2 linked regions of the Styela clava genome follow. The protein of the gene in region 2 interacts with the protein of the main gene of each other region in a pairwise test. Links are inferred from orthologs where the notes say so. Each region holds a gene or a part of one and is shown on either strand. Other genes may lie near its edges.

Region 1 (15,769 bases), on a different chromosome or scaffold from region 2:
AAATTATGATTACGTTTGGCTTAAGTTTACGTTTAAAATGTACAGAGGCCTCAATACATCTTCTTTTTTTTGCAACTCTCATTTCCTACATTCACCTTCTTTACATAATGCACATTGTTCTTTTTAATTGAGTTTTTGTTGTTTTTCTTCCTACTAATAACCTGCAATCATGCAGAGAATACACACATATGTGTCTCCGTTATGTCATAGTCGGGGCAAATACTTTCCATAATTTTTGGAAGGGCGAACTTGGATCGCCAACCGAGAAACGGGGAGCCGTGTCGACACAGTGTTACGTAACAATAGGCTTTTCATGTGATTCTCTCAAATATTAGAATGTCATACCAGTATCACGTGACCTATACCTCTTGCTTAGACCCGGAGCTACCGCGTCACTAAACCGATCACTTGAATTCCGCGAGAATTAGTCCGTCAACAGACAAGAACTACAAATTTGAGAAGCCTTGTTTGGGTATCGCTCCAATTCTTAGTTTTACATAGAGTGCCTACACCGCTTCTTGAATTTAAAAACGTGAAACACGATAGCGAGTTATTCTGTGAAATTTCTCGTATATTTTGACCAGAATTGCCATTATAGCCAATTTATTTAATCATTTCAACTCAAAATAACATTCAGGATTCTTGCAGTGACGACTTTTTATTCAATATGAAAATAATAGGGAGACAATAGAAAAGTAAAATCATAAGAAGAAGGTCAACTATAATCTTTCGGTGTCAGTAATGATAATATCATTAGCCCAAATTTGGGACGGGTAGTTTACAAGCGGTGATGAGGAAGATCAAGGACGGTAAGAATCCGTTCTTGTGAAAAAGAGAGCGGGCGGAAATGTAGCTTGCCAGCATTATAAAGTCAAGCGTTCTGGACGCCTGTTGTGTATATATTAAAAACATTCGATTCGATAAAATTATTCAATTTTGCCCACCTTTTGGCGATATGTAGGAGGAATAGTTGTTGCTTTGTATCTGAAGAGCTGAGGCAGTTACCGCAATTAGGTTATTGGATTGTGTTCCATAGAATTTCTATAAATATTTTAGCCTTTCCTATTATTTTTGTGGAGCATGCAATATGAGTGTATATAAATTTGTTCCGTAAATATTACCGTTATTGGCGAACCCTGTAAAATGTTAGGAATATGTTTTGTACTACATCATTAATTACATGGTATGAATTTGCTGTTTCAGATCCTGTGTTGTATAAATATTCGCGAGATATTTAGTAAACTTGTCGAAGGGTGGTTGGTTCATGTGATCACTGGCCAGTTACGGCTTTCTCGCCCGTTTGGGTTTGAATGACTGATTGGTTAGCTGTTATTTAGATCAGTGGTATTCAAACTTTGATGTACACTGTACAGCAGTGGTCACCAAAGTGTGGGTCGCGACCCCAAGTTGGGTCGCCTTGAATATTTCGGGGGTCGCCGAGTGTCCGGCGTTGTATTCTTGTTATATTTTTCATTATTCTATTGCGTGCATTCTAAACTGAGCTGACTAGCACTACATAGCAAGTTTGGGTATTCTGAATTACAGTGATATCTTGTATAATAAGGCTATTGTGTGACGGCAATATTAAATTGTAACACGAAATCCAAAGCGTGTGATAGAGTTTTTGGGAATGAGATTTACTGTGATTAGTTTTTAGTGGTTTGAAATATTTTTTCTTTGCTATACCTAGGAGTCACAAGCTTATCATACGTCATAATTTTTGAAATGGGGTCGCGTCTCAAAAAGTTTGACGACCACTGCTGTACAGTATCATTGCCCCTTCACATCACTATCTAACCGCCCCTCGACAATACAAAGAACGTAAGGCTATTAACAAATCAATTAATAAATAAATTGATTATGTTATGTTTCATGTGGATGTTCTTGGTGATCTTCAACAAGCATTTGGAGACATTTTGGTCAGCTGCAATTCATATTCAAAACAAGTTTTATGATAATTCTGAATTCCGAACGGATGGCCGATGAATCACATTTTTTCACACAGATCAGAAGTTTAATTTTTAGCTACGCCCGAAGACGGACCGTTTGAATATTTTCTGCGCCATTAAACCAATTGCACTTAGCATCAACTTTTCTGCGTTTTGTTGCCATTTGTCCAATTATAATTAAAATATAGGCTCATTCAACGAGTAATTGGGAATTATATACTTGTTAGGTTATAATATAATTTAGTCTACACGTGTCTCAGAATAAATTCTGTTACGTAATGAATATAATTGTCAAAACAGCTGTTTTGTTACTATGATTCAGTGAAGCGTCGCGGGCCTGATTATATTGCTCCGCGGGCCGTAGGTTGCCGACCCCTGCTTTACGCCCTCGGTTACGGCTTCCTCTACCATCAAGTCCATACTTCCGAGAACAAACGACTGACTGAATAATCGACTTTCCTCTCCGGCGGGATAAATAGGTAAATTCTATCCTATGAAGCCTAATCACGCCAGTAATATGGTGAAACGTGTGGTCGTCCAAACACTGCGGAAATGTAACATGGTGAAACCTTCATTAATTAAATTTAGTAAATTCCACTACTTCGCCCCCGATCATAGTGTTGGTGTAAGGGTTTGTGATTCTTGTTGAAAAATGGGCACACGCAACAAGTCCAGGCAGATATGAAATATATGCCGGTGGTTATGTGTAGTCAACTAGTCATTGACCAAGACATCCTTGTATTGAGTAAACTTCTTGATATATCTTGTTAACCGATGCGTATGCCTCCTCCGATCAAGATTATCAAGGATGGTTCTACCTTCAATGTTCCAGCCTCTCGAATCTCGAAGGTTTTTTCACTTTCCACAACAATGTATTTTTGTCTGGAGGCGAGAGTTGATTGTATGCTACAAAGCATAAACGTTAAAAGTGCACAAAATAAAAAAAGATTAATATTACTCGGTACAAACCATGCGTGGTGTAACCAGGAATTTATTGACGTTAATAAATTGTGTGAAATGTTGAAAATGCAGGTACACAGTACAAGCCAAGTCCAACCTGTTCAGCGCTGATTTGAAAGTATTGACAACTTGTATATCATTGGTGTTTGATTTGGACTTAGCTTCACAGTGCATTGGTGCAAAAATAAATGAATGATAGAAATAAAACGTAGTATATAAGAAATTTGCTCTGCTTCAATATTTACAAGTTGCCGATACATGATAGATGATCACGTTATGCCCAGATTACAATAGACAATGATCGTAAATCTGAGTAGATTCAAGTGTTTTTTTCATACATGCTTTTATTCTTAAATATTATTATTTTGTGGTTAACTGGGAGCATCAGGTCGTCTAGTTTGTTGTATTTTTAATTTAGGCTGCCCCACAGAACTTCCTGCTTCATCCTCTTCACATGTATGGACAACTACGCTTGGTGTTGACAAAGTTCCTGGGTGAATTTCATGGCTCTCACCTGTGTGAAAAATGTTGAGCATTATTCAAGTTATTTCAATTGTTTTTAAGTACAAGTAAATCTAAATTTTACTAAATAGCTGAATTAGTATCCCCATGTTAGGCATTGTTTAAATAACAAAAGCCTCACTGACATTTATGCATTAAATCCTTTATTCATTGTCATTCATTAAGCCAATTATGAAATTGTCTTACCAGGTTGAAGGGAAGCAATAGCTGATAAAAGATGGTAATTAATAACAGGTTCACTTTCTGGTATTGGTTCCCAACCAACTGGCGGTGATGCAGGTGGTGAAATTAAAAACAATCGATCAGGTTTTGGAGGAAGAAGACTGTCTGATGACTCATCATCTGAACTTGACTGAATCTAGATATTGGCAGTTTTAAGGGTTTTGGTATACATTGCAGCCATTTTTACTAGTAAACAAGATTAGTTATAGCCTATATCAGAACCACTCAAGAATACTGATGGAAAACACAACATCACTTATTCTTTAAAACCACAGTGCAAAATCTATACAACACATTACTGCTACTACATTATGATGCACAATGCATACTAATCAATTGTAGTGCGAGTGTTTCAGACAGCTTGTTTACATGCAGTCACTCCAGAGAAGTGCATCTAGTACGGTTGAAATATCTCAATATTTTTAATATCTCAAAAGCAAGCCTAGTTTGGCACGTCTTGATAAAGAGATAGAGTCGGACTAACACATAAACTATAAAGGCTCGAATCTGAGCTGGCGAGTTCGTCATGGTAACCACTTGGTCATCACAATAGCAAACAGATTACCACAAAACAAAAAATAAATATAATCAACACCTGAGCAAAATATATTTTAATTGTTTGATTCCTATATTCATATCCATGCAATGAGACTCGTGCCTGTGCGGCATTCATAGATGATTCAAAATAGACTTTAACTCGTCGAAAATTTTGGAGATAGATAAAGTTTGTTGGATTCAAATGACTGAATAGATTCTGAAATTCTTCCTGTAAAAATTAAACAAAAATTTCCGTAAAAATAGTTTCAGGAAGTATAAATTCAAAAATACCTTTAGTAAAATCAAGTTGACAAACTATAGAAATGATGCAGAAATATTTATACTGCTGTACTGATATAGCAAATTATGTAAAACCATATATTTTTTATTCAGCTTCAGAAACTAGTTTTATGATTTCCACAATCAGACATTATGAAGAGTCAAGTCAACTTAATCATAATTTGACTCAACCTCATGAAAATGGAGCAAACAGCAAAATCAGCTTATTATAATAATTCTACATTGAACTGGAAATGATGAAAAACTCATACATGGCATAATATTTCCTATTACAGTATTTGTGGCAGCATCAGAATGTTGAGGTTGATTAACATGTTGAGGTTGGTTATCCCATGTGTTCGAATCCTGTGGGGATAATTATGTGCGAGGGGGTTAATGGACCCCCCACCTTTGTAGAGTGATTATTATGGCTTCCTCCATCATGAAGTCAATACCTGGCCACTGCAGGATAGGATTTACATATTTATCCCGGGGAAGAGGAATATCGATGAGTCTTAATCATATGACAAACCACAGCCGCTTGTTTTAGATGGCGGAGGAAGACGTGAGCGGCCAGCCGTTGTGCGAACCACACTATGGCGGAAAGGAGTCCAGCAATTCTCTCGCACATAAGTTTTACTGCAGGGTAGAGGTGGCAAGCATATTACTAATGCTTAGCATAAACAGATGATGCTCCACAGCACCGAGCCTATGCTATATGGCTACTGAGTTATGCCATTTCTGCATGTCCTAGGCTACAGTACCGGTATGCTACGGAAATGTTCTGTCAGTCTGTACTTAGAATAACAAATCAGCAAATAAGTATAAGTTTATTTCGACTCCATAAACAGCATAACAATAAAATGATTGATAAAAACGGATAAATCAAACCTGATTATGAAATCAGAGAGAGCAAACAAAACCTTGAATAAGGTTTGGAACGTACATAATACAATAATAGAATATGGAAGGTATTGCCAAATACAAGTGGTAAGTGTTCACTCACCTAACTGCCTAAAGTTATATCAAATATTACGGTATATATAATTTACTGTCAGACTGTTCTGCATCAAGAAGATATTGCGGGTCTAGTATAGTTTAGTACCACAAGTACTTCCAGTGGGCGTAGCATAACAATTTTTGCATATGTTATTCCTAACCCCCACCTGACTATGCCATCTAAAAATTACGTTACTCTGACGTCACCATCACGTCATAGGGGTTGCCAAAGTATAATTATGATCGCTCGAAATGGCATCTGCGCCGCCGATAAGAACTTGCTAAAGCTGGCGATCTCTCTCCTATCGTGATCGTTGCGACGAGAAAACGAGAGAAATAGCTTGCTCGATTTCGGTTATCGTCTGCACGTTTTGGACGACCATCCGCATACTTCGGTGAGCCTTATTACGCCACTGTGACGTCGGAATGACGTAATTTTTCGGTGACGTAGTCAGGTTGGGGTTAGGATTGACATATGCAAAAATTGTTGAGCCAGGCCAACTAGAAGTGGCTGTGGTACTAAACTATACCAGACCCAATATTGCAATGTACAGATAGCCAATAAAGTATTTAATGTACAAGCATACCTTAACGTCTTCTTCACAGAACACCATATTCGGAACATCACACACAAAAACAGAACTTGGCAAGTCCTCAACATCCAATTCTTTCAGGAGCAATTCCGCACTGGCACAGCCATTATGAGCCTCCCTCTTAGATATGTCTTTCGTGTCAGGTAGCATTGAATATGTTGATATTTTATAAACCAGTATACAGTATCCTCTGAAACCAAGAGTATTTCCCTTTTGAAAACTGAATTATAGACTCAATTCATCCAATACTGTAATAGGCCGAGATCAACGTAACTGAAAAGCCATAAAGGACATAAAACCATGGTTAACTGAATATAAAACCTCAAAATGTAAACAATAACTAAATTAAATACTAATTCTACGCGGATAAATTTAGATGAAAAATTGAAAATTTCTTTTACAGTAATTCACTGTTGCATACAATGGTATTTATATGTTATGTATAGGTATCATATGGGAGAAAATCTGAAAAGGATGGTTTAATTATTATTATTAATATATATATTTATTGCCACATCGTCTTGTCAACCTAACATATGGGATAATTGACTAAAGTCAGTCATATACTTGTAAACTTACAAGTGTGTGGCAGCCGTTTACTTATTAGCAATAGCCAAGAAATTCGGAACTCATTCAACATGATCTAAAAATTAATGCGATATTATTTCGTCAAATATTTTAATATAAATAAATAATTTATTTTGAACACTTCCATATAAAAAAAAAAATACAAAACAAAGGACAAACACACAGGACGGCAATTCTTTGACTTACTTGTCAAGGCTTCATTACAGCCTCTGCGGATCAATCTGAACTATTGCTTTCCGTTTGTTTCCACGGCTAATCTCGGATGAGCCGACTTCAGCAACTGTTGTCTAATCTTTATGTACTCCGATGTCCCCGGGGCCGAAGCACTAATGATATATCTTGATGATATTATTTACACAATTGTGAATTCGAACTTTGAATAATAATTTTTTTTAAATAATGCGATTTCATGGAAAAGGACATCTATGTTCAGAGCAAGTCTGCCGTTTAGTTTAATAAATACTAATGGCCGTTGTTGGTTCCTGACCTTATTAGATATTAGAACCTTGGGTGTGGCTGCTCAATAACCAGTATTGGGTCCCCGCGTTTTCCCTCACCCATTGTAACTAAAGATTTATTAATGTATCGCCATCGGTATTAGTTATTTGCAATATCGACCATTTTTTTGGTATCGGTATTTGTATTAGTGTCGGCTAAATGTAGACCGATACTTCCGATATATTTTGCTTTTAAATCTGATTACGAATGTTTAAGAATATGTTAGAGAACGAATCTTGAAATTATTTTTTTGCGGCATGACATTTGCGGTATTTCTCCTCCGCGAGTAGAAACTAAAACTTGATTCTGACTTGTTTTTAGTTATTATTAAGCCAAACTAGCTCAACTAAATTTGCTATTTTCGCTGCCAAATGTTTATATTGACATTTGTAATATTACAGGGAAGTTATGATGAAATATATCAATCGAAGATTAGTAGATTATCCAATGTGTGACATACAAAATACGACGTTATATTGGCACAAATTCCTGCGCACGCAACGCAATATATCAGTTTGATATGATAAGTGAATATTTATTCACTTTACCATCCATAGTAACCGGATCGTATGAATTTTCTAATTGAACAGCGAGATTACTAGAGTCGATGCACAATGCATCAGAATTGATTAAGGTAATGCATCTGTACACGAGGTAATAATCAAATAGTATCAGAATATCGGCAATATCGGTTTTTTGAAATATCGCCTCGTCGGTATCGGCATATTTTCATTTATATCGGTAACGGCGGCAAAAGTGGTATCGGTTCTCTAAGTATAACCGAGTTAAATTTTTATATATTTTAATTCCGTATGCTATTTTTTACTGAGGGAAAAATAAATTGACTATATTCAACAATTTCTGATATTTCGGAAGCGAATTCCCTGCAAGACCTATTTTTAGTATGTTATTGCTGAATTGAAAAACGATCTATAGTCGACAATCGTTTTGCAAGTCACAACGGAATCTACATTTGTAGGAAGTTGGTGTTCAGTTTTGTTTGTATCGGTATTTTTACTCATTTCTTGAATTATCCGCTTCATATCCTCTTAGCGCAAGGAGCACGTGCCCTCCTATTTCCTCACTACCAACAACTCAAACGAGCTTGATTAACTTCTGAGTCGCACTTCCGGCACACGATTGTTTATTGTAAACTGCACTGTACAGTAATCAACCAATATTTTAATCTAATTCTAAATATTTGGCAGCTCTTATAGGGAAAGCGATGTTAGAAATAATGGACGAAATGCGTAATTTACAAACTTAATAAATAATAATAAAGAACAAGGATAGAAAAACTCAATTAAGGACGGTTGGCAACCCTAGTTGGGCAGCGGTGCGTGCGCTAACAGCCAGTACTCTGTTCCCGTACTTGTAGTTTATAAAAAGAGCTCATATAATTTACAGTTAAAAGAAATTGTTTTCGGCGTCTTCTCTCACCATATAATGCATTTTTTTTTAACATTTCCTTTAATTTGTGTATAGTTCGTACTTTCAGCATGATGAAGAAATAAACTAGAATATCGGTTAGAAACCGAAGACTTATCGATCGAAGGTTAGGGGATCTCCCAAAACAGTGGTCTTACTCCATAGTGACACTGTGTGTCCCATCACTAATTAATTAATAACTCGCTAACTATAAGACATAATCCATCCAATAGGCTTCTGATCCGAGCTATAACGAATGCACATGCAAAATTTGAAGCAGATTCAACCTCGCTTCCGTGAGATATCGCGTGCATCTAACATACAGACAAACAGACATACACAGACAAATACCTATCAACATACTTACCGATCTTAAGATTGGTAAACTTATACTTATATACTTATACTTATTATAAGTAAATACTGATTACTGAATGGCAAGACTGGACAAATATAATATTTAGTGGGCGTCGCAATATGACCTTTCAACTCTTACATGGTTGACCGCCGACAAGTTTGTTTTGTTTTTGTCAGCTGATGAGCTTCAGGAAAAATCGCTTTGTTTTGTCGTCCTTGTGGTGCAATTGTAATTGTTGTCTGCCTGAACTATATCTGCACAGTGAAAACGCACGTATTTACTGGAAGAATAGTTTTGCGAAAAATGAGTGGATTAGCAAAGTTATTTGGAGGAGGTAAAAGTAAACAGCCAACACGAGAGGAAGCGATCCAGAAATTGAAAGAAACACAGGAAATGCTTGAGAAAAAATCAGAATACTTGGAGAAAAAGATTCAAGATGAACTTGCTACCGCCAAAAGACATGGCACTAAAAATAAAAAGCTAGCCTTAACAGCACTTAAAAGAAAGAAGAGATTTGAAAAACAACTTGGTCAGGTGGATGGGACTTTATCAAATATTGAGTTTCAAGTGGAAGCGTTGCAGGATGCACAAGCAAATGCACAAACTTTCAAAAACATGCAATATGGCGCAAAAGCATTGAAACAGGTTCATGGAAACATGTCAGCAGATGATGTTCATGAGGTTATGGATGACATTGAAGAGCAACAACAAGTTGCTCAAGAAATAAGTGACGCATTGTCAGGTCCTGTAGGATTTGGCACAGACATTGATGAAGATGATCTCATGGCTGAACTTGAGGAATTAGAGCAGGAAGATCTAGACAGAGAATTGCTGAATGTGGGTGCAGCAACAAATGAACTTCCTGATGTCCCAGTATCGGATCTACCTACTCCAGTGGCAAAAGTGAAAGATGATGAAGCAGAACTCAGGCAGCTTGAAAATTGGATGGCAAGCTGAATATGAAAAAAAAAATGTCTGAATGATATGACAATGTTTCAGTATGCTTAGTCACTGAAATGATCACTTTTGTCATTTGTCATTTGCTTGCACTATCAAGTCATCTGCTGCAGTTCTTCAGAATTTTATTATTCAACAATTTCTAGCATCCATGTCTACCCAATTTTAACTGTTTTTTTTTCTTGATATTATTACAGACTATGGTGATTTAGCAGAAAAAATATGATGTTTTACAGAAAAAAATATTAATTTTCATATGAATCAGAAATAATGATATTTAAAAAAGATGGCTATATTCAAAACCAAATTACTATCCTTTTATTCAATCAATTTTAAATATTTGCAATCCAGAATACTAGGTCATATATTATGTTGACATCTTAGATAGAGGCACACTTTTAATGACATATTGGTAAATCAGCAGATCCAGTGTGGATGAATTAGACGTTTGCTCATCATGTGTTTGATCTGTCAAGATATATTTCTTGCATGATGGTAAAGATAGTACAGAATTGTACTTTATAAGCCGGATCCGTGGAATTAGAATAATAAATTATATGTGACATAATTATACAACCTTTATATTTTATCGGGGAAAAGTTGATAATAATAATATACTTACCAGTAGGTTGTATGAAAATTCTTAAATATTTTGAAACCCTTTTCTACATTACAGCTTTCACAAATTCGCAATTATGTGTAAAACACCTGGCCTCTGCTTCAGTAACTGAATAGTTTATTGACCAATACTTGTTTTTATCAAGCAGCTTTATAACTTCATACTGTCTTAGATCATTACAGAATTAATCAATGCTTATGTTCTGTATCAGGAGAAGAATTGTATTCTTTTTTTCGAGAATTTATGCATTCATATATTATTTTTAATTTCTCACTTTAATTTTTCAATATGTCGCTTTTTTCTATTTTATTTCGTTTCAAAATTTCCATCTGTTTCTAAAATAACATCGAAGGGTTTAATTGTCAAAATGATTTGTAATATGGAGAACCTGTCAAAAGGTACTCAAATTTTTTCATACTATTCATGGTGTGTTATTCAGAGCTTAGGCTTGAATGTTCGTTATTACTTGATTATATTTTAATGAGATCAATTTGAATTTGCAGCTCAGGTATATGTTATATGTATATTTACCTGAGTTGGGATATCTTGTTGGGACATTTTTATAGTTGTGCGTGTATTGTTAAAGTGCATAATAATAATAATAATAGATAATCAGGATATTTTTTTGGACTGCCATAATTAGATATATTTTTTCAGTTGGAATCTGTTTAAAATGCAAGTATTTCTATCACCGTTGTTTTCGTGCATAGGCGATTTGGAAATGCATGTTTTAAGTTTCAGATAGTCACTTTTTTAATGTTGTAATATTATTATATTATTACTCAAAAATATGTTTAATTTTTTTCTTAGAAACTGATAGCAAAATTAAAATGCTAATGTATCAGATACAATTCACACAACAACCAATTATTCCAGCTATGTTATTCAAAGGTATATTGAATTAATTTTTAATGCAGGTTTATTTAGAAATTATGTTTCATGTTCACACAATAAAAACATGTTTAAAATCAATAACTCGCTAGGAAGAAAAGAGTCATAATATGTGAGAATTATATTTTAAAATATGCTTCAATGCAAAAATTGACGGATCGCCTCAACATTTGACAAACAATAAAAAACACGATGACGATGATTCAGAATTTGTTTGAGAAGTGAAACTAACTGATTATTCTTTCATTTGCATAACAGAATATTTTTTCCCATTTACTCTCATAAATGATTTATGCGTTAGATTTTTGATTGTCGAACCTACTTATATGCCAATATTTGTGGAACATATGTTACACTGTAACTTGCTGTAAGGTGATGAATCACTTTCAAAAACCTTGCTAGCTTCTATTTCACTTTTATATATTGTAACTGGTAAATTGCTTTTATTATATTTTTAGAAGTTCAATAAAGACATGTCTGGTGGTATTACAAATTTTGAAACGATGAATTCAAGACGTCGAAGAGACGCGCCTTCGGGTCATGTTGTGCAAGCACAACCAATGAAGTAAGTATATTTATAAGTTCAAATTCAATCAACTTACCCTTGAGCAACCAATACACTTCATGAACATGTTCGATTTGGGGATTGCATGGATTTAATTTTATTTTACTCTTTTCAGAGACAGTTCTTACATGGAAAGCATGGTGAATTTTTTTCATGATATTGGACAAGTAAGTGTTATATTATAAGATTTCCATATTTATATACAATATAATATCTGCTTGTACATTTCTTATCACTAAGATATAGGGAGCTTTGCATAGAAAGATAAGTCTGCTTTATCTATCTTAACATGTGTGAGATAGAAATTGGTTGATCACAGAACCAGGAGCTGGAGATTTTAACCAAATATGTTCACATGATTAAGGTTCTCAACTATAGAAAAACTGTCTACATTATTGCTTTATATATCAATATTGTCCAGAAGAGCGAGTAGGCCTATTCAATATCTAACATAGAAACTTGCACTTCTCCAAAGGATATAATCCACCATAAGTTTCAGTTAGGAAAATAAGTTGAAAAGCTCTTGCACCTCTGATTACCCTGCAGTGATTCACAGATAGAATTCTGTGGGGGATGATCATGTGCGATAGGATTTCTAGACTCTTCTTTGTTTTTGTAGCGAGTTTCATATATATGGTGTAGTCTTTCTACACAAGTCCATACATCTGCAACGAATAAATGGTTATCCATTCTCATACCTGACATGAACTGGTAACCATATAAGAGGGTGTTGTTCACCATAATATGATTAAGTGTCTTATCAACTTTTCTCTCCCTTGGATAAATATAAAAATCCCATCCTACAAAATTATTCATCTGAAAGTAATATATTCAGCTGTATTCGTAATGTTGTACTCTCTTATATTCAATAGGTATATTCTAATACATCTCAAGCAGAAGAAAAAGAAACTGTTCTGTGGGCAAGATTATTTGATTATAAGAATGCTCTGGATCCTGAATTTGACGGTTTTACAAATGGGAGTAGAAATGATGTTGTTGATTCTTTGCTGTTGATCCTGGGATATAAAAATGGAGTACAAGCATGGATAATATGTGTAAGTTTGATTTAAAAGATGCCTTTTGTTCAGGGATGATCATAAAAGTCTTCAGTATTCTAATTAATAAATCCAGTAACTGAACGAATTTTCAAAATATGATTTCAAATCTGCAGCATATCTATAGCGTTTGAGGAAATTTTATATTCCAAGCATGATAGATTGACAAATTGATTGTTGTAAAAGTACTAACATAAGCAGTTTCATTTTGGTGTACTGTCTGTCAGATATGCTGTTCAGACAATTTCGGACAGTCCAGTACTTTCAACATGTGTAATATTCTTCAATAATTTTGTTAAAAAACTCCTTTTGATCCCAGGAAAATGGTGAAGTACAAGAGATCTTATCTTTGCGTGAAGGTCCTGTGAAGACAGCTTGTCTAGTTCCTCCACCAAGCAGTTCAAGTATGTTTGTGAATCCTATATATGTTATTAATTAATTTGATGGCTTCATAAATGTAACAAGCTTTGTCTAGACTAGAGAGAGGGTCCCAGAGGTATGTTCAAATTCTAGTGTACAACTGTACATTGCATTTCAATCTTCGATATTCTGATCAGCTTGAGTTGGTGAAGTAAACTGGCATATTATTTTGTTATTGGAGTGAGAACTGGAGCTGTATCTCATCGGGGCGATATTCAAAATCTAAATTTGATAGAGTTTGAATTTAAGGCTTCTAATGATTATAATGGAGGTTGAAATTTCTGTCCGAAACTCACAAAACATCGAGTTGACTAAGCACTCTCAACAAACAGGTATAAAAGTCTCACATACTCCAAAGTTGTTGTTATTTAAATTTGATTTGTCATAGTTCAATACTAGAGTCAGAGTCAAAACTTCCTCCAATCTGAAGTTGAGGACAAATTCTGTTTCAATTTGGACCAGGAGACATTTATTAAATTTGAAGTTGGAGTCTGTTCTAAATTTTTCTTGACTCAACAGCCCTCATTTGGATTGTTCAAATTTAGGCTGTGAGAAAGCATCGAGAAAGATGCTGTAATTAATATTCTGAATCATTTGAATGCTTTTCACCAATCTTACTCGTAATCTATAAGATAAACATAACTGGTGTTTTTAATTATAGGTGATAAAAAGCATGATGAATACACAATATCTCGTCCTTTGCTAGCTGTTTGTATGGCTGCTGACAGGTTAGTTCAGGAGGTGACTTGAGGAATACTGATTAATGCGCCTCAATCTTCCAATATTTCATACCTGAGTTGGTAGCTTGATGATGCATATGCCCATAAACAATAGTCTACATCACTGCAAAAGTAAATTTGTATTCACTGCCACTGGCCACTGCAAACTTCTATTTTCCTTTTCAAAGTTCTGCTGAGGCCGACTAACTATACAAATATATAACTTGGTATCAGGTATGGCTGAGACCTAATACCTTTATTTCGTGATACATTCTAAAATAATATTTTTAAATATTAAAGATGAAATATATTTCGTATTAAATTAGTCTAACGACGAGCACATCTGGTAGTTTGATCCACATTTTATTTAGTTTGAAATAAAAATGCAGAAAATTGAGAATAAACAATGATTCGATTGGTCTCTTTTTTTTTACCCTTTTTTCTGAAATTGAAAAACTATGAGACTGCAATCTTTTAATGAAACTATTTCAAAAGAATTGCATTCCTATAATCGAGAATTTAAAAATCGAGTGTAATTAATTTTGAATTCTTTGAGTATTTAATCCATGTTAGACATTTTTTCCTGTTGTATTATTTGGATATTGAGGTTCGAAATCAATTATATTTATGACTGCTGTTAATAAAAGTCAATCATTGTTTTAGAAAACAGCTATTCACATCAGTGAGTATATTCTCTTTGCGAACAAAGGATAAAATACGACAGTTAGAATTCGATGAAAATGTTGAAGAGCTGAGTACTGGATTGGAAGGAATGATCATTGTCACGTTGAGATATGAGATAAAAGCTTTCAACACTTTTGACTTTAAACTAATTTTCACAGTCAGAGGTTGGTATATCGTTATGTTCATTTTCAATTTGATGTTATTTAATATCTATCTTTTACAAACTATCTTACACATATTTTTCATGTATATTGAAATATTGGTCATTTGATGGATTGAAAATTTGATGGATTACTAATGATAAATGAGGGAAATGTTACCCTCAAACATCATTTGATCAATAAAATTGAAATGCTCATGAATATAGACTACATAAAAGCAAACCTAATTCTGGCAGATCTAAATGCTCTTTAAGTCTTGCAAGTTTACTAAAAATAGTGGCTAACTTCATACTATAGGTATTTGATTATATTTAAAACAATAACATTTGAATGTAAATTTGTGAAACCCTGGTTGAAAACCACTGCTCTAGTGTTTTTTGTGATGTTTAATTGCTCTTCATGACCCATCGCTTGAAATTGAGATACTGTACTCAAAGAGACTAGATCTTTCAATCACAATACAAAGTTATACAAAGATTATTTAGCCGTGCATGTTTAATCCTAGTCATAGTATTAGATTTTATGCTTGTGTTGGAGTTACCACCAGCGTCTAAATTTGCCCTTAATTTGGAAGACTAGAAGTAATTGTTTCATATTTCTAAATATTCGAATATTAATTTTCCTAGGGTCAATGTCCAAACGCCAAGGTCATTCTGCCGAATCTAGTTGGAAATGGAAATTTGGTTTCATTTCAGAAATAAGTGACATTCCTAACTTACTCTGTAGACAATAACCCTTGTACTGGAATAAATAAAAATAGCCAAA
Region 2 (16,155 bases):
GAGACCAATTTTGATTGAAAAAGGCTGGCAATTGACTTGATTTTTCAATTTATCGAAAATTTAGCACTCCCGTAGTAAGTGCAACAAGATGACGGGCGCCTGAACATAGTATGTGCATCAGGTTAGGGTTAGGCCATAATTTTATTCCAAATTTCCTTATTTTAGTTCTATTACGAGTTCGGGGACTAGTCAAGCGACTCCCGTAGTATTTGTACCTGAAATTATGGCCTAACCCTAACATGATACACATACTACGTTCCGGTGTCCGTAATCTTACAACATTACATTACATTCTGTCTTTTAAAGTTTTAATGAAAGTTTTCAAAAAATGTCAGTTTAATAAAAAAAAATTCAAACTGAATAAAATCAAAAAAAAAAGGTTTCCTGAAAATTTAGATACCATAATCTAAAATGTACAGTCTTATTGATTTTGCTTCATTTTGAATTACCTTGGCATAATTGAACTGAAAAAAAAATATCAGAATTCGAAACCATCCATTATGAGCACTCTTTATATTTGTGATTCTCTGAAGGGACAGACATTTATCATAACAATTCAATAGATCTTACCTGTAACTGGTGCCTGGATATCGAGCATTGTTTTTTCTCTTCGTAAAAGTTCTGCCCCGTCATTTATTATCCTTAATGCCGCCTAGACACAAAATAAATATATTACGATGGGCGCAATGGTTTTGTGGTGAAAGCGTTCGACTTGGGTTTTTTGGCATCATAGGGTAAAATCTCATACACATCACCTCAATGTATCACCCAGAGTGTAATCAGGTAGGCAATGATGAACGGAAACGATTTTGATTCTTTCAAAATTAGGTACGTCCTCACATAGCAATCACTGCTTGTACAGTGACTTATTTAGAGTGAAAATAATATGATTTCAATTTTTACTACCCCAGTACTATTCTGTAGTCTTTCACAACTATTAGACTATAGGGTCACTTTTATTCTTTCATAAACTTAGGATTATTCGATAAAATAATTTGCTTTTATTTTCAGAATAACCATTTTTATACAATATTACCAGTGTCAGAAGTAATATGGCTGACTCAAATTATGAATGGATGTATACTTTTCAGCCAATAAATTTTGTATATTAATTCTTCAAGTGTGTAATAGATTCAATTTTCTTGTTTCTAACACACTAAAATCTTGATGCATGCCAAAATACATCTTCGGTTTCTGATATCAAGAAAACAAATCTGAAATTGATGAGATTTAAACTGAAAAATTCTCAAGTTTGTTTGTACTCCATTGCTTTAACAATACTTGTGTGAATCATTAGTCAAATTTGCAAGGACAAAACTCAACTTTTATTAATGATTAGACAACATCCTGTAGTACTTATGACAGGTTATTTGTTTAGTTTCTAGTGAAACTTCTATTTTGTAAGTAGGGCAATTCCAAACATGAAGTGAATGTCGGGTAATCAAACATTCGATCTAAGTAAATAAACTGATAAAAGATCGTTATGTCGACAAATACGGATGGCTACAAACAAGGACGTCCAAAATTAACATACCGGTTTTCATAAATAGTGAACTATTAACTTTTTCCATAAATAGAAATGTTTGGATTTTGAAAACGTTTTACAAAAAGCACAATTTTCTATGGCGAAAAAATATCCATGAAACGCATTTGCCAGTAACAAACGAATCCTAGGTATTCAAAATTTAACTGAATTTTCTAAAGATCCCACATGGAAAATACTCCCAATTATGTGGAGATCACAATCAAATTATTTCAAATCCTTAACAGAGATTTGCTTTTAAAATAAATACATTTAAAACTTTAAACATATCATAGAAATTCATTAAAAGAGTTGAGGTCTAACACTGCTGAGCGACACTGCTGCCCATATGCTTCCGTCCTTTTACACAACTTGATGTAAAGTAGGCGAACAAAATTAGTTACCTCCATATTGGTACATACACTTCTGGATTGCTGAAGTTTTTTTGAGATATAAAGCAAAAAAGGGCCGATTTACAGAATTTGAAACTATGCAGATGAATAAATATGACATCAATCATTAAGTTTATGATATAGCGCTATTAGTTAATCATGAAAAATATTTTAATAAAAATGTCAACCACAAAAGCAAAATACTGTCATTCACTAACCAAATCAAAGCGGTAAAAAATTCTCAAATATATTAATAAAATTTACCTTAAAAAATACAATTTATAAGCTCATGATTTTTATAAGGTTTACTTTCAAATTTTAGAGATTCGTATAAAAAATACAAGTAACCAATGAAATTGAAATAAGCTCCCATTGGCACATCAGGTAAATGCTTATTCACATATTCAGGCAGCAATCAATGTTTTGTTGGCAACTAAATAATTCATGAGGAAATGTTTTAAAAACTTTCCAAACTGGTACAAAGTTTAGAGTTATAAAGGTTTCGTATTGCAAGTGGGAATAGTGGATCTATCAATGACAGAACTGACATACGAAACCAAAATCATTTTTCATATTTTGAAACAAAGAATCAATTTTTTAAATATTTTTGGCTTAATATAATCAAGAAAATCCAATTTCAAGATATATTGTACATTTTCAGATACTGTCATTGTTTCAATATGTTTTACACAGTCAAAAATCTTATCACTTGGAATTTTAGCTAAATAGTCGAGTGTTATTATAAAATGTCAAAATATCATTTCACTCCCAATATTGTTCTGAATATTAAAAAGCAACTGGATATCATTATGGTAGAAATGCTGTGTGGAAAATCGGTTGAGAGTCATTGAAAAATATATTCATTTACACATAAACTTTTCTGGAAATGAATTTGAATACATCAACGAAGCAGTTATTTCAGCTAACGCTAATGACTCTAACAATTCAAAGAATTAATGGGTGAATAAGTCCATGAGAAAAAGAACAGAACCATAACCACATTATCTGCTTGAGAGATTATATATTGTCTGACAGATAAAGTTACTCCAACTGTGTTTCAACAACAGTAGGAGATAAAAAGAAGTAAGATTTTGATAAACTGTAGTGTAGCCAGTCAAAATGCAAATAACACCCGAAAAAATTTCAACCATTACCAAATTATATTCAAAGGCACATTGATATTGACAGATCAATTGGGACAAATAATTATTGGACACAACATGGACCTATGGGTCGTTTCGTTATTCAAAATCACATCAAATCAACATGAAAATTAAAAATTATGTACTCGTGTTCTGAATTCAAATCTCCCAGGTACAGTAAAAGATTTGATACTACTTCGTTTTAGCCTTCGTGTTCATAGATTTGAGCATCGCTTTCTTGTTTGATTATAAAATGTGAACAATGCTAATTGCAAACCATAATAACATACCTCTTCACAAATTCTTCCTTCTTTTACAAAATGTTGTTTCAATAGGTCAACTCGTGGACTACCATTAGAATCGAAAATATCATCTATAGTGAGCTTGTGACTAGGTGGGAACGGCACACCTGAAATATACAAAAGAGACAAATGTAAAAGATTCAACTTAACTAATTTGTTTCACAAAACTGTCAGAGAAAATAAACTAAAACAGATGATTTGATTATTGCAAGTATAGAAGAAATGTAACGACTTCTGTGTTGAAAAGTAAGGCAACATAAACAAGCTTTAATGATCTATTTTCACGTGGGAGTGGATCTCATTAGCGCTCGATGGTGAAATTTGTCATTGCACCAGATCTGATGAAAATTTGGTCAAATTCAAAGTCATCCGAGTCAAATGAAGATAATATTATAACATTCAATTCATATTGACCTTTATTAATCGATAAATTTTGTTACAGAATAACGATAACGGCAATAGTAAAGATGTACCGGTACATGATTTGGATTTAGCATCTTATGACAACAAAATGTGTGATGATTGAGCAACCATAGTATAGTGTTGGGAGATGATACGGTATTTGTAGCTGTACAGCTACGCCAACCAGCTTACATGAATTTAAGCTTGGAAACAAATTCTATCAATGCTGAAAATGAATCATCTCGAATGCTACAATTGACATAAATTTTCCTATCTATTTCATGTATAAGGCGACCAAAAAACAGAACCCAGGTCATTTAAAACATATTCTAGAATCTAGAGAGAAAATAATTTTTGTGAGAAATGTCCTAGATTACTGAAGCTTTTGGGCACAATCATATAATAACGAAAGTTAAATGTCAAATAATTTTCTACAAGTATTTAAGAAGTTCATGCGTTGTTATTTGGACTCATTCTATATTTGGTGCAATTTTCTGTTTTTATTTGAATTTTTGATTAAGTGGTTAGTTACATACAAGATACATTCAGAAAAAATTTATATTTTTTTTGAGTATGAATCACGAATGTGGATATCAAAAGAAGCTTTGTACCAACGGACTAAAATCATTCCCCAATGTCTCAATAATAAATCTCCTAACAAATCATAAATCAATTTCTTGAATGCTAGGAAGACTCATGAAAAATTCATAGCTGCAAAAGGATCGAACAGTAAGTAATGCATCAACTTCTCTAAACAAAAATAAAAACATTTTCCCTGAACTCTGTCCATGTAAGGTCAACAAAGCAATAAAAACAGTTTTCCATTAAAAAGTAAATAAATATAATGGTGGTCTAGCAGGGATGGCCGAAACCAAATAATTCCGTATTCCGAATGCATTCTAGAATGATCTATTCAGATCATCCACTGATCCTGATAAGCCAAATTAGATCTCCTTCTGGTTATCAATGATATCTATTGTACCCCTATTTATTCTGTTAGCAACAAAAATACTGATCTACTATTTCAAGATTGAAACTTTATACTATAATGCAAAGCTGCATATACTTTTCATACGTGTATAATACAGTAATCATAGCTTGATCGTGAAAAGAAAATATTTATTCCATGAGTCAGGCACATTGTATATACAAAATGCAGTATGCCATACAGACAGGTTTCCTCTGATAAGTGTTGAAAGTGTTCTTTTCATAGTGTTATCATTACACATTTGCCTTTTTTGTAGTTCCTTATATGTTTTTTTTGCAATTTGTATACATTTTTCCAGATTCGCCTTTTTTAAGAGTTTTTCTCAGGTTTTAAATTTGCCTTGCTTTTATTTTTTATATATTTCATCAAAATTTACTTTGTTGTGAATTTTTTCTGAGATTATTTATTTTCCGATATTCTGTGCGAAAATCCCCAAATATGTTTACTATCAACTTCTGCACAGTCAACAGTTGTTACGTTTTACGCTAATCATGTACCAGGGTATTGGATGTCGCTGCTTGAAGGCCTTTCGAGGTCCCTCACAACTCTATCACTCATATAATGTTATTGGTATTTGCTGTATCAGTTTCTGTGCATGACTGTGCATTTTCTGTGATCGTTGAAAAAATAAACAAAAGACTGATTTGCTGGTGATCCTAGCAACAAATGGAACCAAGTAATTACCATATTTGCATATATAAAACTGACAACACCATGCATGTAATGCGGTTTTCGTTATGGCTAATAATACCCAACTACAAAGCTAATGTCAGTAGGTAATGGAACAATTTATGTTATAAAATTGATATAACTGCATTCATTCCAACAGGTCATTAGCATCGATTTTATAATTTACAACAGTGATTCACGAATTGCATGTGGAAAGATCATTTCAAGTTCATCACGAAATATCAATCTATTCCAAAAAAAAAAAGTTTCATCTGTCCGAAAAAGGACTTGACATAAACGAACAAATATGTTAAATTCAACAATGAGAAAGAAGTATGAGCTAGCTTTATTGGACATTCAACATGCTTTACGACTGCTATTAAGAAACACTCCCACAAACTTCTCTTATTGTGGTTATTCCAATTAGTCGAATGCATTAAATTGAAATCATCTAAATCAATAAGTTTCCATCAGTCATTACTGAGCCAGTTTAAATGAGAAAATACCCCTTTATTGGGGTGCTTAAAAGCCAGTTAATCAATAATTTATTCTTACAAACAAAAACAAAACTTAATTCTACTTTTTGAAGAGTTTATTCCAGTATAGCAGTATATGACTCTAACACTGACCATGTCATATTATATATTAAAAAGAGCTTCAATATAGTTTGGATATCTTGATCCTTGGGGGATGAAACAGAGCACACATGAAGGACACATATAACCATTAAAGAAACACATACACATAAACAAACAAAATCAACAGACACGCTTGGATAATCTATCTAAATACAAAGTAGGAGAGGGTCAAACAGTTGAATAAGTAATGAATACAATGGCTCCAGCCTCCAACTATGAGTATAAAATATCACCCCATGCTGAGATGCCGCCGTGTATATTACGAATTCGACCAGTTGAATAAGGTTAAATTTCACAAAGAAAAACGAAATGATACAGCTTATTTATCACTGTAAGTATCGACTGCTTTAGTTCAATACTTCAAAAAGGGTGAAGTAAGGACATATATTTTGTCGTCATATAGCAATAAAGGGTCGAAGTAAAAGTTGGTAATTTATTGCATATCCAAGTATCTACTTTTGTAAATATATAAAATTTAAGAATTTCCTCTATCAAAGGGATAATCAAGTCAATAAGGAAAAATTATTTATGCACACATCAAATACAACATAATTTTGTTATTAAAAGTTCAAAACAATCTGAATTTTTTGTGTATTTTTACTACACTATATGTATCGTTTTCCAATTTTCTATCAAACATTATTAATCCAAAGGTAACTAATACATTTTGTGAGTCTGTGACAATAGTGAAGATCATAATATTTTAATGTTGGATCTATTTTAAACATTGAGAACTATTTGACATAGGATTAGATACTTTAGTCTATCAGTAGACATTCGTTAAACCATCTGAAACTTTTTTGAAGGGATGCTGGCGATAGCAAGCATATGAAGCAAGATTAATACTCCTAATATTAATAATGGATTGGGGTTAACCATAAGAACCAATGGGTTTGTAGAATGTTGAAGCTCGGCTCATGAAGCACTCATGCCCAGTCTTTTGAATGGCTGTCGTTTGTAAGATGTCATATAAATAATGATAAAAATAAATTAAACTCACTTGACATGTGTCTTTCTGTCGTGGACATTTCGCCATCATTTTCATTTGAATTCATTGCACAGCACAGTAGTTCATAAATTACCTAGTTGCACGAGGAATAGATAAACAATAAATCCAAATCAAAAGAGTGATGCAACTCACTTCCTGAACCTGCTTACTGCCTATTGAATATCTATAGAAAACTGTTCCAGAGTTCAGTGGGTGGAAAACTACTTAGACTAAGGTCGAATACGATAAACAGAACTAACCAACCATAATATTCTGGAAAGCAAATGTAGAAGAGAAAACGTTTTTAAATAATATACCAGTCTATACCAAAATGATTGAGTTACTACCGGTATTTATTATTTCAATATATTATGTTCGTATTTTGGTTGACAAAAATATTAGAAAAAAATAAAAATATTCGAATACCGGTAATACATTTCTTAAATTGAAGACACAGAGAGATATTATAACTTGACAGTCCTTTTTCACAATATACCGTACATTTTAAATCTAAACAAGGTACAAAAAGGGAAGTCCCTTGCTGTATCAAGTGGAAAAAAAGCATCAAATGCTCTTTCTCCCTCCCAAATGTCTATCATTTTTTACAATCAATAATGCAAATCTTATACTTTCAAAGCATTTTTGAAGCTATTCTCAACACCAATTTCTCAGAATTAAATATATCAGTACGAAGATTCTTTGATCAAAATATACCATCTATATTTCTATCAATGCAAAAAATTTATTCCGTATGAAAGAATAAACAATTTATTATTCCTTGCCAGTAACTTGAAACACGCTGTCACACTCATAGCCAGAACAAAGAGGATTACTGATCTTGACAAGCAGAAACAAACAATAAATCACATAATCAATATATAGATCTAAAGCAATTCACACCTATTGCTCACACTTGAATATCATGACTGTGATCTGTCATCACAAATTGTCAGCAAGTTAGGATTATATTTCGTCAATGACTAATCACCGTACTGCATGCACAGGTTATAGGCGCAGCATCGATACTTAATCATGTAACAGGCGACTTCCTGCGCTGTGAGAGACATATGCGTCATGCAGTGTATGCAGGTGAATATTATCACATAATAAAAATATGATAAAATGATCGATATGGTAATACTACAGCACACAAGTATATTACAATATGCATCAATTAGTGCTCGAATTCCTGATAAAAAAAAAGAAAAAGCTATAAATAATTGCTGGCATTCATAGAAACGACTCATTAATATACAACCGTTCGTTCCAAGTAGAGAAACTTACAATATTCAGTATAATCATAGAGACGAATACACAGTAATTTCATAGTATATTTTTTTCACCAATTCAAATCAATATTTAATCACTAAACTTAAAAATTTTATAAATTGACACACTATTGATTATACCACAATGCATAAAATATGATATATAATTAGTAACATCCGCATCATATATTTAAAATTTTGGAAGTGACCAGTTATCGTCTAAATCTCCCTAGACTGCCTCAAATTGTTTATTGCAGGGGTGTGCAACCTGTGGCCCACAAAGAAATATTTTACGGCCTGCGAAACAAGTTTTCTAAATTATTTTAATCTGGTACGTGTGAGTAATTCCAAGCCTATACCGGCACCCAATTTTTTTTTTTTATCTATGCCCATGTCATAAAATAAATACCAAAATTTTTGTGTCTGCAACTACTAGAAGTCTATGTTAAATAAAGGTACAACCCGCAATTTCACCCAGTTATTTGTATTTAGCTCTCCTGTATTAAATGTTGCACACCCCTGGCTTAGTGGATAGGGACAATTATTTACTATATACTTCTAATCTAGATGAGTAGGCTGTAGGCGCCAAATCGGAGTCGCTATCTAGCGCCAACACGCGTTAACGGACGGTTGCTCTCTGAATCGTTTCGAGACTCCACAATAAAAATACGCGTACAAATCGCCTTTTGAAATTTCTTGTTGTCACGAAAAAAGTACGTTTAAAATGCAGTGTACGTACGATTGAAATTCAATTACAGTTGAAAGTACGAATCAGTATACAGTTGTCAATTTGTACGGTTTTCTAAACAGAAATAAAAAACAGTCTCAAAATATGTCACACAATAAAACTTACTAAACATCTAACTAATTAGCACTTAAAAAGCACAATATTTATCAATTTAGAATCACAAATTAATTGAAAAAGCCAAAAATACAGCACAATTGTTTACCTTAAAATTGCAGTTTCATATCACTAAATAAAGCATAAAATACGATAAATCAAAGACTTACTTGACGATGTAGCCTTCAACTCAAAGAACAACCAATTATTTGACTGGAAGCTATTATTTTAACTAGCTCTATATTTGATCAGATCTAACAAATAAACACACAAAATATCATGAAATAACTACTTGCAACTGTTTTCCTAGCCTACTGAGAATAACGAACATCTAAACGCGAATAGAGCTGGGAAAGATTTAAAGGTAACTTTTACTAAATATATGACTTAAAAACCCGGTTCCTTGAGACCTTAAACAACTAAAAATCTAACAAAACTGGAGAGCAGATGATCACTGCCAACATTCCCGCCCAGAAAGCAGCGAGCGAAAGAACGAGCGTTGCCAGAAATAAGCAACAACACAAAGAGAGCTGGCCTAGCAACACAGGACAAATTAGCATAATTCTATGTTCTAATTTGTTAACAGTCTACAAATCGGGGTAGGTTGTCATCAGAAAAATATCATAAATTACACTAGTACTAAACCCTACTTGAGCAGCATTAGATATGCCCAATACAAACCTAGAAATAACTACAAAACAATACTAGAAACATGGCAACATCAATGTGTGAGGTTATGTTGCAATCGCAAAATACGCAAATCACAAAATCAGTCAAGTGTGAAATAAACGAAAACAAATGCGAGGCGGTTTCATCCCGGCCCCTTGGAAATTTAAAATTTGCATCCACAAATTTACAAGATTTCCACACACTCAAAACACATCAAACACACTCAACAACCATGCCAGAAAGAAATTCTTTAAAACGAAATTGAAAAGTTATCAAATCATGCTTCATCACACTCACGCAGAAGTACAAGTTTTGTCACAGGGCGTTGGAATATGGAATGTTTGGTTTGAACACCCACGGAACGAACCCTACCCTTGCTATCCTGGTAAGTTTCAATGACTCGTCCCAGCAACCAAGTGTTTCGTGGTTGATTCTCATTCACAACAAGTACAATGTCATCCTTTTGAAGATCTCGTTGCACTTTGTTCCATTTTTGTCGACATTGAAGAAGCGGAAGGAATTCCTTTCTCCAACGTTTCCAGAAAACATCCGCAAGATATTGGACTTGCTTCCAACGCTTTCGAGCATACATGTCCTTGGGGTCAAACACACCTGGAGGAAGCATTGGTTCCTCTTTCATCAGTAATAAATTGTTTGGACTTAATGGAGTTAAATCTTTAGGGTCGTTCGATACCGTAGTAATCGGTCGTCCATTCACAATATTTTCGCATTCGCACATAAGAGTTCTTAAACTCTCATCTGTCAACACTTGTTCACAGCAAATAGCATTAAAGATTTTCCTTATAGTTCTAATCTGTCTCTCAAACACACCACCATGATGCGATGAAGCAGGCGTTTGAAATATCCATTTGATGTTTTTCTGTAACAAATAATCATGAATTTGGTTTTTGTTCCAAGATTTAATCGCATCTCTGAGTTCTCGTTCACCAGAGACGAAGTTAGTGCCATTATCAGATCGCATCTCAATAACTTGACCTCTCCTTGCTATGAATCTTCTAAGAGACATAATGAAAGCACTAGTGTCCAGACTGTTTGCTATTTCCACATGTACAGCGCGCGACACTAAACAAGTAAAAAGCACACCATAACGTTTAACCTCGCTCCTTCCTTGCTTGATCAAGAATGGACCGAAACAATCCACTGCAACATATGTGAAAGGAGGTTTATCCGGTATCAAGCGATTCTCAGGTAAGTCCGCCATTAATTGAGATTCAGGAGGACGTTGTCTCTTCCTGCAAGGAACACATCCTCTCAAAACACTTCGCACCAAAGCATTACCTTTTACGATCCAATACTTTTGATTTATTTCAGCTAACACATATTCACGACCGTTATGACCAGTTGTTCTGTGGACATAATCTATTATCAAAGAAGCAATTTTACTTTCTTTTGGGATAATAATTGGATGCTTTACATTAAACTCAACATTTGCTGCTCTGATCCTACCTCCTACACGAAGTAGTCCGTTTTCCAAGAATGGTTGTAAATTACATGAAAGAGCTTGATTTTGGAATTTGTTTTCCTTTGAACAAAACATCAATTTCTTTTAAAAAGTATTTTCTTTGTTCATGCTTTATAATTTCCACCTCAGCCAGAATCATTTCTTCTACAGTTAAAGATTCAACAGGTCCAGATTTCAAATTGCAGTTTGATCCAACAATTGACTTTAATTTGTTTATGTAACGTAACATCCAAGCAATTATTTTCTTCAAGTGATGCCAATTTGAATATTTAGCAACGACATCATCAAGAACACATGGTTGATCTTTCACAGCAGCAAAACATTTTTCAGGCAATTCTTTCTTAATTTCCAAATTTCCATCAGACACAGAATGTAAGAAATCAGGTTGTTCAGGCCACTCATCATGACATTCCCATAAAAAACTTGGACCAGATTTCCATTCCGGATAATTCAGGAAAGCATCCACTGACATACCTCTGGAGGCAACATCAGCCGGATTCAATTTAGATGGCACATAATACCATTGGTTAATTTCAGAAACTTCCTTGATTAGATTTACTCTGTTAGCAACAAAAGTTTTAAATACTTTATCCTCATTAGCCAAATAGCGTAACACCGTCGTACTATCTGTCCAAAAATAAGATGCAGAAATTTCAATTTTAAGCTCATTTCTGAAAAATTTATCATTGCGCGCAGAAATAGTTGCTGCACACAATTCGAGTCTAGGTATTGTCGAGCCTTTCAATGGTACTAGCCTAGATTTTCCACCAAGTAACACACAGTGTATTTGTCCAGATGAATTCAACATCCTGAGATAAGACACAGCGCCATATGATTTTTCAGACGCATCTGAAAAATGATGAATTTGAGTTTCTACAACTTCACCGTAATCCACGGGTACAAAACATCTTGGTACATTAAATTCCTTCAGTTTAGGCAACTCAGAAAGCCATTTTAGCCATTCTTGTTCAACTCCCGGCGGTATTGGGTCATCCCAACTGAACTTCCGTCTGCAAAGCATTTGCATTAGAACCTTCACAGGCTGAAGCACTGGTTGTACCAGGCCCATTGGGTCAAAAATAGAATTCACGACACTTAACATGCCACGTCTATTACAAGGTCTCTCTTTAGGATTAACAGAGAAACACAAGATGTCTTCATCAACACTCCAAATCATACCTAGAGCATGTTCAAGAGGTAAAGCGTCAACAGCTAAATTTAAATTTTTCAAATTCTTTGATCTCATATCTTCAGGAATTTCGGCAATAACATTGCGATCATTACTGATCCATTTTAAAACTTCAAATCCGCCTTTTGCGCAGACAGCAGAAATATTTTTCACAAGAGAAACGGCACTTTCGGCATTTGGTCTTGAATCGAAAAAATCATCCACATAGAATGAATCGTTAATTGCATTTATGACACTTATATCAAAATCATGTTTATTGTCTTCGGCAGATTGTTTCAATGCATAATTACAGCAACTTGGGCTGCAAACCGTTCCAAATGGATAAGCTGTCATGCGAAATTCTTTCATGGGTTTATTTATGTCGCTGTCTTCCCACCAGAAAAATCTAAGATAATTTCTGTGTTTTTCGGGTACCTTCACTTGTAAAAACATTGAGCGAATATCTCCCTGTACAGCAACCACATTTTTGCGAAACCTTGACAGAACACCAACCAAGTTATTGGCCAGGTCCGGCCCCTGTAACAGAACGTCGTTAAGGCAGATTCCTTGAAATTTAGATGAGCAGTCAAATACTACACGAATTTTCTTCTTTTCAGGGTGATAAACGCCATGATGATTAATATACCAAATTTGACCTTCACTTTCAGTAGAATCAGAAACTTCTTCTGCATAACCCATAGTTAACATATTTTCCACAAAATCTTTATATTCGGAATAAAAATTTGGATCCCTAATAAATCGACGCTTGAGCGATTCGGTTCGCTGTTTCACTTGCAAATAATTTGAAGGTAATTTCGAATTTGGATTTATAAATGGCAAATCAATTTCATAGTGTCCGTCATCTTTCAACTTAATAGATTCACTCACCCTATCAAGGAACATTTGTTGTCGAGGAGAGATTTCTTCCTTTTCATTATTAGCCGAATCAATGACATCCGTGCACATTTGACACAATGGATGCACTTCATTTTTCACAAAATAATTACATGGATTACCTTGATTGTCATTCTTCTTAGGTGGACAACTAATCATCCATCCAGCAACAGTCTTAGATGCAAAATAGTCATGAGGGCCATAAGCAACTTCCAATGGTTTGTGCAATTTAGGATTATCCTTGCCAATCAAAAGACCCACTTCAGATTTAATATTTGGTATAACAACATTCTTAAATTCAATAAATTGATCCACGTCCTTTTGAGAGGGAATATCAGATTGCTCAACACCGATTTTATCGTTTGAAAATAATGGCGTCAATGGCACATATTCAGATTCATCAAAGTTCGAAATTTCAAGACCTTTCACAATGATACTTTGTTTACTTTCAGTTTCATTATTTATTGTACGAACATTCAAATTTATCTTGAGACCATCAACATTTAACTTGTGCATAAGAGACTCACTTATGAATGAGCAAGTGGAACCATTATCAAAAAATGCGTTTGTCACAATAGCATTTTTGTCACCATTAACACGTACTTTAACAGGAATCACATTGAGCAAAACCTTTTCATTTTTAGATGTATTAACAAAAGCATTGAATTTGGTTTCAGTTTCAGGTGTTTGAGAGCCAAAATTTTTCAAAACAGGAGATTCATCACCTTTTGTCCCAGAATGATTAATTTGGATTTTGTCTGGAGGATGAAGAATCGTTGTATGTCTTCTCTTGCATCCTTCAACCTTACAAGGCTTTGTTCGCTTACAGTCTTTGCTCCAGTGACCAGGTTCGAGGCATGAAAAACAAAGCTTTCGGTTCCTGACAAACTCAATTTTATCTTCATAGCTCAATTCACGAAATTTAACACACTGATTCAAAAAATGATCTTTATTGCATTTAACACATTTTTGTACGGGCCTATCAACAACTGATGTAGCAAATGTTGATCTATAGGGTTTCAGACCTTTCACAGGGTTCGATTGCTTTGGAGGTGAGTTCGAATCATTAGAAGGCAGATTCGTGTTTTCACGAGTTCGTTTTCGAACATAATTCGCCAAATGTTCAACTGTTAAATTCACCTTCTTTTCATTTAAAACGTCATCAACTACAGACAGCCACCCTGCCCTCCAAGAATGAGGCATTCTCATGGCCATCTTATCAATTGTCATAATGGATACATTATTATATTCAATTCCTATCAATGTATTCATACAGGACATCAGCTCTGCGGCAAACATTGTTAGGGCATCTTTATCAGCCAATTTTAAATTAGGACCACAGGAAACTGAATTTATACAAGCTTCCCCTATTTGATATTTTCGTCCATATGTTTCATCAAGCAACTGAATTGCTTCATTATAACATTCAGATCCACGATGCTGGCAACCTTTGACCAGTGCATGAGCAGGACCCTTTGTATATTTAAGCAAATACACCATTTTTTCTTTAGGGCTTTGAACTCTACTTCCAATTACAGTGTCAAATATATCCAAAAAATATCTGTACTCCGCAGCATCTCCAGAAAAAGTAGGGGGTTCCGAAGGTGGTAAACCAAACTGAGGTTGGGGTACATAAATTATTTGAGGGTATGACAAAACTTGATTAGGCATAACAGGCATTTGGGTCACACCTGTCAAAGGGACATTATTTGACATAGTCACTACCGGTACAGAACTTGCTTTAGGAGCAGTATAGATTGGAATCTGACTAGCAATTGAAATAGGTGAGGTGAATGGTAAACTCACACTCATTTCAGGTATTCGAGTCACATTGTTCATAGTACACGCACTCACACTCACCCGGGGAGCTACGGTACTATCATTCAGCATATAAGAACAGGTAGTAGCCACTTCTGAACTAACATTCAACACATTTCTGGGATTCAATGACCCAGTAGTACAAATTATTTGTTCGGGCACATGAGACACATTCTCAACCGCAACATCACCATTCAACACACTAACATTTTGTGGATTGCAAATTTCAATTTCAGAGGCAGGAATAACCGACTCACCATTTTCCCCGGCGATTGTCCTCCTTCTACTCATGGTACTCAACATATTCGTTCTGGTGACTTGTGTGATCTGCGGTTGTGAAAATTGTGCAGTTGTTACAGGTAACATTACAGGTGCATTTTGTACATCAGGTTTAGGTTCTGATGGTGTAGTTACAGAATTTTGTGTCGATTGTTGATTAGTAGTATCATTAGCAATAACAGCAGATGGGGATTTATTAACAATTATCCCACTTTCTGCTAAAGTTTCATTAAAGTCCATGTCCAATCCCAGCAGTTCTCGTCGACTTCTGTCTTCGATTTCTTGCAGGGTTCTTTGTTTACGTCGATCGAATGTAACGTTTTCGATCATTCTTTTTTGTTGTATTTCCTGGCGACGACGCATAAATGCTTCTCGCTTACGTTGATTTCCAATTCTAATTTCTTCCTCTTGACGTTGCTTTTCGTGCCTCAATTCTTCTTCTTGACGTTGCTTTTCTTTTTTCAATTCTTCTTCTTGACGTTGTTTTTCTTTTCTTAATTCTTCTTCTTGACGTTGTTTTTCTTTTCTTAATTCTTCCTCCTCAACTTGTTGTTGTTGCAGGAGTTCTTGCCACTCCTTTTCCAGTGTCAAGTCTTCAATTTGGTTATTTTCTTCCCAAATTTCTTTTTCTTGTTGCAACCGGTTACCGAGCTGTTGTTTCTCTAGCTCAGTTTTTCTTTGCTGACTTATTT

Evidence for each region.
Region 1: the proteins of protein phosphatase 3 catalytic subunit alpha-like (region 2) and calcipressin-2-like interact in binary tests that used the Caenorhabditis elegans proteins (3 or more experiments, as listed by UniProt). The link is inferred for Styela clava from reciprocal best matches to the Caenorhabditis elegans genes tax-6 and rcan-1.

Annotation. Positions count from the first base shown.
Region 1 is NC_135257.1:2,744,301-2,760,069, reverse strand, and holds calcipressin-2-like, read right to left. Parts: upstream 6,372-15,769; 5' UTR 6,212-6,371; coding exon 6,056-6,211; intron 4,420-6,055; coding exon 4,249-4,419; intron 3,790-4,248; coding exon 3,618-3,789; intron 3,424-3,617; coding exon 3,281-3,423; 3' UTR 2,923-3,280; downstream 1-2,922. Other genes in the region: BCAS3 microtubule associated cell migration factor-like, read left to right, coding at 11,874-11,965, 12,081-12,132, 12,838-13,020, 13,340-13,424, 14,102-14,168, 14,823-15,007. UniProt on the Caenorhabditis elegans protein: Inhibits tax-6/calcineurin A phosphatase activity and thereby negatively regulates calcineurin-mediated functions.
Region 2 is NC_135260.1:10,288,277-10,304,431, forward strand, and holds the start of protein phosphatase 3 catalytic subunit alpha-like, read right to left. Parts: upstream 7,335-16,155; 5' UTR 7,111-7,334; coding exon 7,056-7,110; intron 3,466-7,055; coding exon 3,347-3,465; intron 653-3,346; coding exon 571-652; intron 1-570. Other genes in the region: uncharacterized protein LOC144429597, read right to left, coding at 11,330-16,155. UniProt on the Caenorhabditis elegans protein: Calcium-dependent, calmodulin-stimulated protein phosphatase. Dephosphorylates arrd-17. Dephosphorylates daf-16 at 'Ser-319' which regulates daf-16 nuclear translocation. Dephosphorylates calcium permeable cation channel pkd-2 at 'Ser-534'.